Anolis sagrei: one gene and its partner. The protein of the gene in region 1 interacts with the protein of each later gene in a biochemical or structural test. Links are inferred from orthologs where the notes say so. Each region holds a gene or a part of one and is shown on either strand. Other genes may lie near its edges.

Region 1 (3,751 bases):
ACAGTTGCATCTGTCAAGTAGGAAAATAAGGTACCACCTTGTGTGGGAGGCTAAATTTAACTAATTTATGAGGCCATAAAGAAAGAAGACTCCGGGGAATGTGGAATGCGGAAGAACTTCATCGGTGTCGTTGATGGACGATGAAAAGCAGCAGCTCCCCTGGCGGCCAGAAAAAAAAAAGTTAAATAGCTTTTGTCTGTTAAATGTTGTTTGTCAAACTGGCATTGAATGTTTGCCATATATGTGTTTACTGTAATCCGCCCTGAGTCCCCTGCGGGATGAGAAGGGCGGAATATAAGAACTGTAAATAAATAATAATAAATAAATGTAATAAATGTAATAATAGTAGTAGTAGTAGTAAGAAGAAGAAGAAGAAGAAGAAGAAGAAGAAGAAGAGGAGGAGGAGGAGGAGGAGGAGGAGGAGGAAAATAATAAATAACCCTGACTCGAGTATAAGCCGCGGGGAGCTTTTTCAGCCTTAAAAAAGGGCTGAAAACTAGGCCTATACTGAAGTATATACAGTAATTTCACCCAAACTTTGGCTTTGACTGAATTTGGCTACAACTTTACTGTCAAGTACATATTGCTTATCAACAAACATTTTAGTGCCCTTCCAGACAGGCCCTATATCCCAGGATCTGATCCCAGGTTTTCTGCTTTAACCTGGATCATATGAGTCCCCACTACCAGATAATCTGGGATAAACAGAAAACCTGGGATCAGAGCCTGGGATATAGTGCCTATCTGGAACAACCCTTAATTGACAACATGCCACAGGACATGGATGTTCCCTTACTATTCCTGTTTCATGAGCATATGACACTAGAGCTGAGTTTATTCTAACATTAAAAAAGACACAGTTGCATGCATAAACTGTACCAATTGCCAAGGAGTTAATGGCATGAAGTTTTGAGAGGGCGGTACGATGAGGAAGGCAATAGGAAAAGGATGCAATCAGCTTTTCTACACTCCAGAGGAAGTGTTGGTACCACAAGTCTACACAGAGGAAGGAGGTGTAGTGTTTATGCCAACCCACACAAGGAGAAGCGTGCAAAAGAGCCATCAGAGGGATTTGCAATAAAAATGGTAAGTACAGTTTTATTTCTCTATATACAGAATTCCAAAGGATACAGATTTAGGAATGAAATAGCGTTGAATTTGCTATTTGCTGTAGCCTGGAACAGGTATAGCAAGGAAGCACATTAAAATTCAAAAGGACCAGAGGTAACCCCATGGCCTAAGAGGAATGGCTAGATGAGCATCTGCAGAAACGACTATAAACATGAAAGTCAGGGGAGGACTCAAAATACAATTTGGTCATAATAAAAATGATTGACATCGATTTTAAAACCTTCATTTTTACTAGATTGTGGCCTGGAGTATTGGATAGGTAAGAACAAATACAAAAATATATGACATACTAGCGGTCCCCTGCCACGCGTTGCTGTGGCCCAGTCTCGTTATCTGGAAAATAAAGTAATGAGAAAGTGTTGGTTTCTAATATATGTAATTTCTTTATGCTTGTGGGTAAACAGTATTTCTTGCTGTTTGTTAGTGTTGATATGGAGATTGTCTGGTTTGCCTTCTTTGGAACATGCAACATATTATTGTCCTTCTTTAGGAATCCCTTTCAAATCTGTGATACTGTATTTGTGTGTGTGTGAATCATATATATATCTATCTATATTTATGGCTGGATGGCTCTTTGTCAGGAGGGCCTTGATTACGTTTTCTTGCCCCGATGGAGGGAGTTGGACTGGATGGCCTTAAGAATGGGGGTTTTGTGTGGGAAGTTTGCCCCAATTTTGTCGTTGGTGGAGTTCAGCATGCTCTTTGTTTGTAGGTGAACTATAAATCTCAGTAACTACAACTCCCAAATGTCAAGGTCTATTTCCTACTCCATCTGTGTTCATATTTGGGCATATGGAATATTTGTGCCAAGTTTGGTCCAGAGTGCTGTTTAGATGTAGGTGAACTGCAACTCCCAAACTCAAGGTCAATGCTCACCAAGCCCTTTTAGTATTTTCTGTTGGTCATGGGAGTCCTGTGTACCACATTTGGTTCAATTCCATCATTTGTGGAGTTCAGAATGTTCTTTGATTGTAGGTGTACTATAAATCAAAGCAACTACAACTCCCAAATGATAAAATCATTTTTTTAGTGATGGTCACTCCTTGGATTAGTAGGTATTTTGTGGCAAAATTTGGTGGCAATTCGTCCAGTGGTTTTTGAGTTATGTTAACCCCACAAACGAACAGTACATTTTTATTAATATACAGTTACATATATAAAAGGATGGGAAGGCTCCAACCAAATTGGGAAGTATAATTCCGGATTCAACCCTGATTTAAGTTGAACTTTATGCCATGCCGGCTTTTAAAAATATTCAGATTGAGTTATCCAAATGCATAAGACCAGAAGTGTTTTTATTTTGGATCCCCCCCCCCCCTCCCCCAGATTTTAGAATACCTGTAATTACATATATGTTCATAATGGGAGATAGGATTAAAATCTAACATGAAATTATTTATGTTTTGGTTACACTTTATTCACATAGCCTGAAGGTAATTCTATTCCCAATATTTTTAATATTTTGGATACAAAATACCAAACTCTCAATAATGTCAATATCTCAGTCACTCATGTGGACAATTTCGAAGAGTTTAGGATTTCGGAATTATGGATAAAAAATATGCTCAGCTTGTATGTTGCTGCAGCTCTAGACAGTATTTTAAAATTAGTATCAACAACAATTTGGAGAGATACACAAATGGGAAGGGCTCCTCCACTACCGTTAGTAAATGTCTTTAGATTGTGGCCCTTGCGTGCCCATCAACCTGTCCATGTTACACTTGATATTAAAGCAAAACAATGCTTGGTCTTGCAAAAAAGGTAACTGAAATAAATATTATCAATGATCTGGAGAACAAGCCCTATGAGGAGCGGCTTAGGGAACTGGGCATGTTTAGCCTGAAGAAGAGAAGGCTGAGAGGAGATATGATAGCCATGTATAAATATGTGAGAGGAAGCCACAGGGAGGAGGGAACAAGCTTGTTTTCTGCTTCCCTGGAGACTAGGACGCGGAACAATGGCTTCAAACTACAAGAGAGGAGATTCCATCTGAACATTAGGAAGAACTTCCTGACTGTGAGAGCCGTTCAGCAGTGGAACTCTCTGCCCCGGAGTGTGGTGGAGGCTCCTTCTTTGGAAGCTTTTAAGCAGAGGCTGGATGGCCATTTGTCAGGGGTGATTTGAATGCAGTATTCCTGCTTCTTGGCAGGGGGTTGGACTGGATGGCCCAGGAGGTCTCTTCCAACTCTATGATTCTATGATTCTATCTGTGCATTTAAGGGTGTGGGTTGTAAGGAAATTTTACCGTACTAGAATTAAAGATATATTTTCACATTGTTTGAAATTCTGTTTGAGACAGATATTGCTTTGGGTTGCTGTAGGTTTTTCGGGCTATATGGCCATGTTCTAGGATTTTTGTAGGTTGTTGTAGATTTTTAAAGCTATATGGCCATGTTATAGCTCGAAAAACCTACAATAACCCAGTGATTCCAGCCATGAAAGCCTTCGACAATAGATATTGCTTTGTTGTATGTCACCTTGATTCCTCTTCTGGGAAATAAATAAAATATGTTGTGACACTAATTCAACACAACCCCCTTATTTAATTTGGCTTCAACTTGTTATCCCCTTTCTCGTTTCCCTTTGCATCTGGAGAAAAGAAGGGAGGCAATCAATTTCT
Region 2 (3,751 bases), on another chromosome or scaffold:
CATTCCGATTGTCATTTGTAATTGTTCATTATTTCACTGCGATATCAGTTGTTGCACTATCACTGTGCAAATGCTTGTTCCCACAACGAGGATTTAACTTTCTTCCTGAAGGAGAGGAAGAAAGTTAAATCCATTTAGCCTGCAGAACAGAAGGCTGAGAGGAGGCATGATTGCCATGCATAAATATGTGAGAGGGTATCACAAGGCAAAGGGAACAGGCTTGTTTTTTGCTGCCCTGGAAACTAGGATTCAGAGCAATGGGTTCAAACTACAGGAAAGGAGATTGCACCTGAACATTAGGAAGAACTTCCTGACTGTGAGAGCTGTTCATCAGTGGTACTCTCTGCCTTGGAGTGTGGTGGAAGCTCCTTCTTACAGCAACACCAGGGGCACTCCAAGTGGCCAGCTTCTGGTCAAAGGACATTTAGTCCTTTGTGCTACCGGGCACAATTCAAATTTAGCCTTTAAAGCACTAAGCGGTTCCGGCCCAGTTTACCTGTCCGAATGCATGTCTCCCTATGAACCATCTAAGTGCTTAAGATCGTCTGGAGAGGCCCTGCTCTCGGTCCCGCCCCCTTCTCAGATGTGATTGGTGGGAATGAGAGACAGGGCCTTCTCAGTGGTGACCCCTCGGCTATGGATATTTGATCGGCCTCCTGGCTGTTTGAGCAGGCATTTGCAGACACAGTGTAACAGACTAATTGAGACCCACAGAATGATTGGACAATGCAATGGAAAAATCAAATTGAGTGATGGGATGCTGAGGACTTGTGTTTTGTGGCTTTTATGGCTTATATTATATTATATGTAATGTTTTAAACTGTATTTATGTTGATTGGGGGCACTGACTGCTATCTGGAAGGGGTGTTATACAGGGTTAGTCAAAATGAATAGGCCAATAAGATATACAATTAATTTTCTTATTGGCCTATTCATTTTGACTAACCCTGTATAAATACTGCAAATAAATAAATAAATAAATAAATAAACCGAATGCCAAGCTTTCAAACTTTGTGTTTTGTTTGTTTGCTTGCTTTTTAAATACATTACAAGGGTACCCTTGCTTCGCTCCTGAGACGATAAATAAACATCCCAGGGTGTTTTTTGTTTGTTTTTTAAATCCATTACAACTTGATTTGCTCCTGAGACGATAAAACAAATAATATTTATTCCTGGTCAGGCGACGCTCTGGAAGATGCTTGGATTCGCGCAATGGCGCTGGGCATCTGTCTTGGTGGGAGGACTCATGGAGAAGACCCTCTGCGTGTGCGTGTGTGTGGGATGGGTGAGACCAATAGAGGGGGCGGTCTGGGAGGGGGGGGAGGCGAGGGGCCAATGGGGAGGCTGCATTCCCCGCCCCTGTCCCGGGCGCGCCCATAAAAGCCCTGGCGCGCCTCCTCGGCCTCGCATCTGAGGCTGGAGCGCGTCGAAGCCGGGTGGCCGAGCGGCAGAGATGGGCAGGGCGCTGGCGACGCGGCTGGGCTTAGGGCTCCTGCTCCTGGCGCTTCTCCTCCCCACGCAGGTGAGCCAAGGAGGGCTGCCTGCCCGCCCGGGGCACCCCCCCCCCGACCGCCCCCCCAGTCTCTCTCTCTTTCACCCCAGCAGAGCCCAGCGGAGTTGGGAAGCCCTCTGAACGGAGCGGGTGCGTGGGTGGGTGGGTGCTCCCCAGTAGGATGGGTTCAACCAAAACGGGGGGGGGGGGTGCAGAAGGAGAAACCCCCCCCCCCTTCCCTCCCTGCAGCGGACGCAAACAGACCTTGCTTGGGCTCGGGTATCTTGTCGAAGGCTTTCATGGCTGGAATCACTGGGTTGTTGCAAGTTTTTTTCTGCATCTATGGCAGGCATTCAGACTTCACAACCTCTGGGGATGCCTGCCATAGATGCAGGCGAAACGTCAGGAGAGAATGCTTCTAGAACATGGCCAAACCGACCGAAAAACAACCTTTTTCAGCACGGACAGGGCTCAGGTGCCCGAAAGCGAGATCCTCAGGGAGAAAAGGTCTTTTTGATCTGAGGGCGCATCTACGCTCCAGAATTAACGCAGCTTGATCCCACTTTAACAACTCTTTAGCCTTCTCTGCTGACGAGTGCTATCACTCCCCTGATTGCATAGCCCTGAGCTCTGGTAGTCCAAGAGTGCCAAAGCGCGTTCATTCTCCAGTGTAGATACACCCTTGAAGAATGGCTTTCATGGCCAGAATCACTAGGTTGTGTTGTGAGTTTTCAGGGCTGCCTGGCCATGTTCCAGAAGCATTCTCTCCTGATGTTTCGCCTGCATCTATGGAAGACATCCTCAGGGGTTGTGAGGTCTGCTGGAAACTAGGAAATGGGATTTATGGAGAAATGGAGATGAGCACCACCAGATATATAAAGCCCTTTTTCCTAGTTTCCAGCAGACCTCACAACCTCTGAAAATGCCTGCTATAGATGCAAGCAAAACGTCAGGAGGGAATGCTTCTGGAACATGGCCACACAGCCTGGAAAACTCACAACAATCCATCCCTGAAGACCTCAAAATATATCTCTTCCCTCCCAGGCTTCGTATTTGTTCCTTCTCCACACCCCTGGAGGTCCAAAAAATATAATTCACTTCCCTCCCAGACCCCGTATTTTGGAGGTTGGTAACATTACCATTCTTCCAAGCCTTGCTTCGTCTTCCCAGCTAAGGGAAATGTCTTAAACCAGTATGAAAAGACCGCTCTGCTGCTCCTCTCCTTCTGGGCTTAGCTTTGTTCACAGAGCCCAGACTAAAAGGAGAACAACCTTCACAGTCATCAGCCCAAGTTAAAGCCCCCCCCCCCCATTGGCACAATGGGTTAACCCAGGCCTGGGCAAACTTGGGCCCTCCAGGTGTTTTGGACTTCAACTCCCACAATTCCTAACAGCTTACTACAGCTCACAGAAGCCGCCCAGCTTGCATTCACAGGCTGGGGGCTTCTGGGAGCTGTAGTAGGCTGTTAAGAATTGTGGGAGTTGAAGTCCAAAACACCTGGAGGACTGAAGTTTCCCATGCCTGAGTTCAACCTTTGTGCTGGCAGAACTGTTGACCAAAAGGTTGGTAGTTCAAATCCAGCTTCCCATGTGGGGACATGAGAGAAGCCTCCCACAGGATGGTAAAACATCCCCCTGGGTAATGTCTTTGCAAGTGCCTGGGCAACGTCCTTGCAGGCAGCCAATTCTCTCACACCAGAAACGACTTGCAGTTTCTCAAGTTGCTTCTGACACGGAAAAAAAAGCCCACATTACACCAAACTTCTCACCCAGCCAAATGTTAACCCATAACTCTTCAAAGCAATCATCAGCGCTGTTCTCTAGGGAGCCCATCACACATTTTCCCTGGATAGGGAGAATGAATCCACTTAAAATCCAGTTTCTGCTTCCTGCAGAATTCTGGGGTTTGTAGTTTAGAGAGAAGCCTTTAACAGCCTCACTAAACAACAAACCCCAGAAACAGGATTTTAAGTGGATTCATTTTCAAGTGTGATGTAGATAGGGATAAAGAAGGGAGGTAGATTGCTTTCTTGGAATAGGATCCCCCTTTCGTTCAAGCAAGGAAAAAGAAAAAATGAGTTTAAAAAGCCTTGAAGGAAAACTCACAGAAAGTAGGCTTTCCTATAACTTTAGACAGTTTGCTGGAGAGGTTTTTTTCCTCCTTTGCTTGAATGGGTGGAATTCTATATCTGTAGTTAGTTGAAAAAAAAACTATTAAACTCTCTTAGGTTTTATTTACGGCATTTATTTATGGAATTTA

What was found. The genes of interacting proteins can lie anywhere in the genome.
Region 2: the proteins of P-selectin-like (region 1) and CD24 form a complex in vitro, tested with the Homo sapiens proteins (2 studies listed by BioGRID and IntAct). The link is inferred for Anolis sagrei from reciprocal best matches to the Homo sapiens genes SELP and CD24.

Annotation. Positions count from the first base shown.
Region 1 is NC_090024.1:130,221,472-130,225,222, forward strand, and holds the start of P-selectin-like, read left to right. Parts: upstream 1-948; coding exon 949-1,086; intron 1,087-3,751. UniProt on the Homo sapiens protein: Ca(2+)-dependent receptor for myeloid cells that binds to carbohydrates on neutrophils and monocytes. Mediates the interaction of activated endothelial cells or platelets with leukocytes. The ligand recognized is sialyl-Lewis X.
Region 2 is NC_090021.1:95,242,009-95,245,759, forward strand, and holds the start of CD24 (signal transducer CD24), read left to right. Parts: upstream 1-1,396; 5' UTR 1,397-1,453; coding exon 1,454-1,522; intron 1,523-3,751.